Rhinolophus ferrumequinum: one gene and its partner. The protein of the gene in region 2 binds, or shares a complex with, the protein of the main gene of each other region. Links are inferred from orthologs where the notes say so. Each region holds a gene or a part of one and is shown on either strand. Other genes may lie near its edges.

What was found.
Region 1: the proteins of CSF1R (region 2) and CSF1 are in contact, whole or in part, in a crystal structure (PDB 3EJJ), measured with the Mus musculus proteins. The link is inferred for Rhinolophus ferrumequinum from reciprocal best matches to the Homo sapiens genes CSF1R and CSF1. Residues at the interface, in NP_001032948.2 of Mus musculus: Arg142, Arg146, Leu149, Arg150, Lys151, Lys168, Val169, Leu170, Ser172, Asn173, Val231, Gly232, Phe233, Leu248, Ser250, Asp251, Phe252, Asp254, Asn255, Tyr257, Lys259; in NP_001107002.1 of Mus musculus: His38, His41, Met42, Gly44, Asn45, Gly46, His47, Phe87, Gln90, Asp91, Asp94, Arg98, Asp101, Glu110, Arg111, Gln113, Glu114, Leu115, Asn117.

What each region holds. Positions count from the first base shown.
Region 1 is NC_046305.1:41,945,171-41,948,914, forward strand, and holds the start of CSF1 (macrophage colony-stimulating factor 1), read left to right. Parts: upstream 1-897; 5' UTR 898-1,099; coding exon 1,100-1,138; intron 1,139-3,744. UniProt on the Homo sapiens protein: Cytokine that plays an essential role in the regulation of survival, proliferation and differentiation of hematopoietic precursor cells, especially mononuclear phagocytes, such as macrophages and monocytes.
Region 2 is NC_046307.1:22,342,580-22,346,323, reverse strand, and holds the start of CSF1R (macrophage colony-stimulating factor 1 receptor), read left to right. Parts: upstream 1-804; coding exon 805-853; intron 854-3,744. UniProt on the Homo sapiens protein: Tyrosine-protein kinase that acts as a cell-surface receptor for CSF1 and IL34 and plays an essential role in the regulation of survival, proliferation and differentiation of hematopoietic precursor cells, especially mononuclear phagocytes, such as macrophages and monocytes.

The DNA.
Region 1 (3,744 bases), on a different chromosome or scaffold from region 2:
TGAAGAAAGAAAAAGCTCCTGAAGTTGGCTTTATATTAACAGGTTCATCTTATTAGGCCTCCGTTACAGTCATTCTATGTAGAGACAAAACGTGATCAATCTTCTCAGTAAATGCATTTCCAAAAGCTCCAAGGGAAATCTAGGGGCCAGGGGCCAATCGCCCTATGTTTTAGCGATCAGCAGGGAGCAAGGGTACCAGCCAGCATTTACATCACCCGCAGGTCAAGTGCCCAGAGTGCCCCTGGCACACAGCAGAGCCTCCCAGCCCCCTAGCCCAGGACACAATCCTTCCCCTCCTGGTCAGGTAGCTAGCCTCCCTGCCTGGACCATGCCCCAAGAATTGGAGACAAGACCCTAGGAGGGCTGCTTGGGGGCTCCTCGGAAGGAGGGGACTGCCTGCAAACCCGCTGACTCAGGCTCCACCAGGTGCGGCTTCGTGCACAGCCGGGGAGGCTCCAGTCTTCAGTGTTTGTCCCTGTTCTCAGCCCATTTCCTGGTCAGATTTGGGAATTTTCAGGCCTAGAGGGAAAGTCCCTTGAGAGGAATGTTAGAAAGAGGGAGAGAGCACCGGATCCGCCTGGAAAGCCCAGAAGGAAAGGAAAGGAAGGGAAAGGCTCGGTGCCGCAGCGCGCTCGCGGAGGGGCGCGAGGCGGTGGAGCCCGCGTTACTTTGCCGAAGGCTTTGGAGTTGAGCACAGAAGAAAAGGCCACTGGAAGACTGGCGGGGAAGCCCAGCCCAAGGGTGGGGGCGGGGAGGCGGCTCAGTGGGCCTCTCGAGTGTGTCTGTGTCTGTGTCAGTGCGCGCGCGCGCGCGCGCGTGTGTGTGTGTGCGCGCGTGTGTGTGTCTGGCGCCTGTCCAAGGTGATTTCCCATAAACCACATGCCCCCAAACTCCCTTTAAAAGGCTGTGCCGAGGAGCTGGCCGGTGGAGCCGGCTGCGGAAAGTGAAAGTCAGCCTGGTGCTCTCCACGCCGCCGCCGGCCCTCCGCACTCCCAGGACAGCGGTGCGGCCCTCGGCGGGGCGCGGACTCGGCGGCGGCCAGCGAGCCAGCGAGTGAGCGAGGGCGGCCGACGCGCCGGGCCGGGACCCAGCTGCCCGTATGACCGCGCGGGGCGCCGCCGGGCGCTGCCCTCCCACGGTAAGCTGCGGCCACGGCGGCGGCGCGGGGTCGGGCTGGGACGCGAGCTCGGCGGCGGGCGCAGCCCCTCGAAGCCAACTGCGTCGGCACGCAGGCTGCCGAGGCTCTCCAGCCGCGGCCGCGGGTTCCGGCTGCCAGCCCATCTTTGCGTGCGCTCGGACTGCCGGCGCGGCGGGGTTGCACTCGGGCTGACACCGGAGGCGGCCCTGCAGCTGCTCCGGGGGCTGCGGCGCTTCCCTGGGAAAGGGAAGGCTGCTCACCCCATTGCACGGAGGGGTACACTGAGCCACTCGCTGGCGAGAGAGAGAGAGGTGTTTGCAGCCACGGGCAGGGGCTCCATGTCCTAGGGGGCCCCTGCCTCTGTCCCTTCTGACGGGCTATCGCTACGGGACAGGCGGGGTGGCTGTGTGCTGAGTGTAGCACCTTCCCCAGTGGGTACCTTCCTCGTCCGCCATGCACATGCTTCCAGACTCTGCTGGGGAGTGGGCGCTTCTGGATGGAGAAAGTTCAGGGTCATCCACTTATGGAATGCCAGGGCTTGTGCCCAGGAACTGCTGGCAGAAGTAAGGAGCTGGGCAAGCCTCTACATGTTACAGCTCATAATCAGGAACTGTTGGGGACTTGGGTGGCTGGATCAATTCTGTTTTGGGGGACCAGACTCCAGAGTTGCCTGGGGCTAGCTCTGAATCTTTTTCTTGCAAACTCGGGTGCAGTCCGTTGGAGAGATCCTGGGCTTGGTGATGGTAGAGGAAGGTAGAAGGAGGGTTTGGTGCTGGGGAGCTGTGGACAGGGGCTGGGGCCGCTCAGGACGGCTCCGGCAAAGTCCTGCCCCCACCGAGGGCAGTGCCTGCTGCAGCTCCTAGAAAGTACATGGCTGCACCGGTTCATGAACAGTAGGTGTCTCCCGATGGGTTTGCTTCTGCGGAACCCTGGAGGAGAATGGCAGGAGAAATATGGGGGCAGAGAAGCAGAAAAATGTTTGGAGGGTCAGGGAGGGAGTTGCAGGTTGTGGGAGAGGGAGAGCAGAGCTGAGAGAGGAAGCCCGGGAGGGCAAGGTGAGAAGCAGCAGGACAAAATAAGGAGCTGGAGGTGAGACCATGTGGAAAGTGAAAAAGAACAGAAAAGGGGGGTAGTTTTAGACAGGACAGCCCAAGGACGCATGGTGCCAAGGTCTCTCCAGGGACCTTACTGATGGGGAAGATGGAACAGACTGGGGACAGGTGAGGATGGACAGCTAGGCTGAGACGTCTCAGCATCTCTCTGAGCCTGCAACAGACTCCTTCCTGGCTGCCCCAGACGCCAAGGCTGGTGTGGGTGGGAGGAAGAAAGAAGCGGGAGAAGAGGCAGCCCAGCCAGATACAAGCTAGAATGTTAACTCTTTGGTGCCAGTCCAGATCCTCCTCTGAGACAAAATTGGGACCCAGGTGCAGGGGTGGCCCCCTTTGGCACCCATAAAGTAGGTCTCCCTCATGGGGGCTGCACTCCTCCCACACTAAAGCCTGAAACAGCTCCAAAACCAGTCTGCCCTTGGGGTTAAGCATTGCCCTCCCTTTGCTGTCCCCAAACATCACTATCTTGAAGTGCTGTGGCAAGGATGTCTTCCTGAGCTTCCCGTCCCCATGGCCCTTTCCTCCGTACCAGTTACACCAGGCGCAGAGCCTCGGTGACAGCCAGCCTGGAGCAGACATACCTTCTGCATGTTCCCGTTTCCTCTACTGGGCCCTGAACCAGAGGTTCCTGAGGACCTGGGCAGTCATTCCCACCCAGGGCTACCTCCTCAACTGCCCAACACAGCCCAAAGGTGCCCCCGTGACAGTCCTCCCCCTTCTACACTCTCCCTTCCCTAGGTCAGGCCAGGAGCCTCACCCATGCCAGTGCTGAATGGCAATGGGCCATCCTGTGCCTCTTCGCTCCCGGCCTCACCCTCCCTCTCTCTGCCACCAACATCTCCGCATCTTTCAAGGTCTCACTAAGGTCCCTCCTCTCTGCAGCCTCCCTGGTAGCCCGGCCAGGGTCTCTTCTCCCTGGTAAGAGCTGGCAAACATTTGGGCTTTTAGTTATATGTACATCAGCAGGTTGTTGTGGGCTGTGTCACAGCCTCCCCGTGTTTTTCCAATGTGCCATTTATTTGCAGTATGTGTCCTATCATCTGGATTACCAAGGCAGAGCCTAGAGCTCAGGAAGGTGCCAGCCCTCACCCCACCCTGACAGCATTTCCCGGGATCTGGGGGCATCAGCTGCCAGGAGGCGACCTCCAGCTGGGGAAAGAAAGCCCAAGGGTTTTTCTCTACCTCTGGTTGGAGAAGGGGAGACTTAGGGCCAGGGAGAGGGCTAAGGGGTGAGGAGGAGGGAGAGAGGAAGGAAGGGGAATGACAGGGTGTCAGAGCCAGTCCTGTCACTCAGGGGGAGCAGCTTCTGGGCCAGGTGGGTGCTGAAAGAGGGGAGAGATCTCAGGAAATGTCCTGGCCATGTAAAGAGTTAGCTGGCTGGATGCAAAGCCTGATGGGGCTCTGATGGCAGGTGCCAGCCGGGGATGGCCTGGAGCTGGTACTGCTGCCTGCCTCTGATCAATTGGTTGGGCTGCTTTTGATACACACAGTCAGGGC
Region 2 (3,744 bases):
TCTTAAGAAATATGCTAGCACCATTAGGCACTGTTAAAATAAATAAATAAGTAATTTAATAAATCCACAAAAAGGCAGTTCTATAGCCAGGCTGCCTGGATCCAAATCTCACCTCTACCATTTGGAAGCTATGGAATCGTGGACAAATTTAAGTGTTTGATCTCTCTGAACCTCAGTTTTCCCATCTGTGAAATGGGAAGGATAACAGTAACTACCACGTAAACTTTTTGTGGGGACCAAGGTAGTTCATGAATGACAAGGGCTTGGCCGGTGAGTATCCTGTAAATGCAAGTTTCTTGCTGCTATTCCCAGGCTTTCCCAGACCAACCTAATTTCCCTTTTGGTTTAGTTAGAGCAGAGCCACCTGGCCACTCTGGAGACCCTACTGACTGACTGACTGACTGACTGACCGACTGACTGACTGCTTGACATTGGGTGTGTCTCTTCTGCCAGGGGCCTTTAAAGATGGCTTCATAAGGGCCCCAAACTTCTCCAGATCCCCCAGGCTCAGGATGGCCCTGAACCTAGACTCCCAACCCCTCCCCTCTGGGGTTCATGGCTTTGTTTTCTTCTAAAGACCCAAGATTTCCAAACTCTGTGGTTGCTTTGCCTAGTAAAAGGGGAAGAAGGGGATCGGCCCAAGGAGGAGGAGGAGGAAGAAGAGGGAAACAAGACAAATAGTTGGTGCAGTGGAGAGGAACGTGTCCAGCCAGCGTTCCTGGTCCCTGCGGAGCTAGCAGCTGGGAGTCCAGTGCCTGCCCACCCTCCAGCCCTGCATTGGCCTGCTGCCTCCCCACTGAGGCCATGGGCCCTGGGGCTCTGCTGGTCCTGCTGGTGGCCACAGCTTGGCATGGTAAGAGCAGAACTGAGGGCCCTGGGCGGAGGTGGGGGGAAATGTGACAGAGAGGGCCCCTGTGTAAGGACTCTGTAAATCCTTTCCCCTCACTGGGTATATGCACTCGGGGCTTCCATCTCCGCCTGGATAGCAGGTTTGTGGCTATCTGCTCTAAAAAGGCAGTAGAGGGCAAAGACAGTGTGGGTGGGATGGAAGCAGCCCAGCCAGGGCTGTGGATCAGTCCCAGCTCAGATGTTGACTCCCTGTGTGTCCTGAACCATCCCCAATGCTCTCAGGGCTTCAGTGTCCACATCTATTCAACAACAGGCATTGGGAGTGGTGATGACTAGACTAAAACACAGTTTTTCACATTTTACCGGGCATGCAAATTACCTGGGGATCTGGTTAAAATGCAGATTCTGACTCAGTAGGTTTCAGGTTCTACCTGAGCTTCTGCGTTTTTAACAAGCTCCTGGGAGACACCAGGGCTGCTGGTGCAGACCTACACTGAGTAGGGAGGCCCTAGAGAGTCCCTAAGGGCGCTGCCAGCTCTGCTGGCCTGTGACTCACTGATTCTAGGCAGTACCTTATTTGGGAAAGCCCAAAGCGGCTGTGGTCTTCCTTCCCGCGGGAGGCCTGGGTAAGGGGTGAGAAGGAGGGATGAGTGAGTGAGCGGGGATAGGGTGGGCTGCTGTGAGGGAGTTGGGGGATGAGGTCAGAGCACCCCTGATGGGGAGAGACTCGCAAAGATCCTGGGCTGAGGAGGGGCTGTGTCCCAGACCCTGGGGTGTGTGTGTGTGTGTGTGTGTGTGTGTGTGTGTGTGTGTGTGTGTGTGTGTGTGTAGGGAGAGAGGAGCGGAGGTTCAGGGACATCCTGGGGCTGATGATGGAGGGGTCTGTTGGGTAAGTGAGGTGGGGGGAGGTTTGGGGCATGGAGAGAATTGGGGGGCTGAGATGAAAGAATGAAGACTGCACAGGTGCAAAGTGGGGCTTGGTCAGTGTGCATCACGTCTGAGCCCCCACCCCGGGGAGGACAGGGCCAGCCAAGCCAGCACAAGGGAAATTGGAGGCGGACGTTGAGGGGGTCAGCCCTGTCCTGCATGAATATCCGGGACAACAGGACAGGACAAAACAGGACAAATGCCTCTTTCTGACCATATTTCCAGGAGGCCGGGGCAGGGGCCAGGGTGACTGGGCAGGGGAAGGGGAGGGAGAGGCGCCTGTGAGTCGGGTGCAGAAGCGGAACGCAGAACCCGAGACCCTGGGATGTCACAGTCACAGACTCAGACCTTTAAAAGTTAAAAACTTTAGATATCAGAATGTCAGGACCAGAAGGAAGGTGAGAAATGCTGCAATTGAAGCAGCAGCGTAGGGCAGGAGCAGCTGATGAGCGAGGAGCTCTGTACCCCCTCACTGAATCCTCCCAGGATCTCTCAGAGGTGGGAACGCAGATTATTCCACTGGCCCGAAGGTCAGAGAGGTGAAGGCACTACCCAGCCGGTAAGGAAGAACCAAGTTTCAGATTCACATTGGTGTGACCCCACAGCCCAAGCTCTTCCCTGCAACAACCCCCGAGTCTGGGGCCTGCAGTGCTGCAGCCGTAACAGGGCAGCACCAGCTCTGTTGGGATTTGCAGACAGCCTGCCAGAAATCATGCTGCCCCCTTCCCTGGTTGTCACATGGCACAGGATGGCTATACGCCCCAGGTGTTGACCTTGGTGGTATCCACCAATTCACTCAATCCTTTACGTTGATTAGAAGCTCAGGTTAGAGAGGCTGCACGATGGGTAGAAAATAAAAACATAAATTAAGCCCTCCCGAAATCAATTGACAGAGAAGCTCTTTGTGATTTGGGTCTATGGTGGGGGTGAGGGCAGATAAATTCATTTAAGGAGCTGTGTGCAGGACCTTGGAGAAGCCCTGAATTCATTGGATGCCCTCCAGGCTGGAGTGTCCATGTTCCCATCGTCACAGCCAAGGGATTGCACTCACCAGGGGCACATAGTGGGTCAGTGGCAGGGCCAGGCCCCGAAGCCCAGGGAGTTCTGATGCCCAGCAGGTGGCATTGTCTTTCCTGGGAGTCTCTCTCCTGGAGAGGGGACAGTGGCCAGGAGGCCCAGGAAGCAGAAGTGAGAACATCCCAGGGAGAAGGGCCGCAGGCAGAGCGGAAACCGGGGGCCAGGCCAGGCGCCAGCAATGTGTTTCCGCCTGCGCTGGCCAGGGCGCCTGGCCGCCCCTTCAAGGTCTTGAATCAGCTCTCACTTCCCTCCTTTGCCCTTATTTTAGGCCCTGGAAAAAATGCTGACACTGCAGAGGCAACGGGCTTTCATCCCAGAGGCCCTGATATGGGTTTCAAGTTCTCTTTTCTCCTTCAAGAAAATTTTCCTTAAAAGAGATTGGCTCTCCAGTCAACACAGCAGTGCTGGGGTGTAGGGCTGGGCTGCTGAGGTAGACTAGATAATAAACATAATGGCTAACTCTTACTGAGTGTTCGTGTGGTGGCAGGTGATGTTCTAAAGGCTTTCCATGCGTTTAAACCTCCTGACATCTCAATAAATGGGTACAATTATTGTCCCCATTTTATAGGTGGGGAAACTGAGGCACAGAGCCTCTGAACTATCCTACTGTGCTACAGACCAGACATCCAACAGTGGGAGCAGACACACCAGGGAACTGGAACCTTTCTAATTCTGCTGGGCCAAGGTCCTATGCCTCTGTTCCTCTCCCCCAAATAAATTAAGCTGGATGACTTTGCCATAAACACTCCCTCTGTCTCTTCCTTTGCTTGTTTGAGGCCCCTGCTTTGATCCAGGCCCTGGGCTGAGCACTAAGGATTCAGCCCACTTCAGGAGGCTGAAGGAATCTACTCCTGGGTAAAAGAATGAGGCAGTCACAGCTGGGAAAACTGA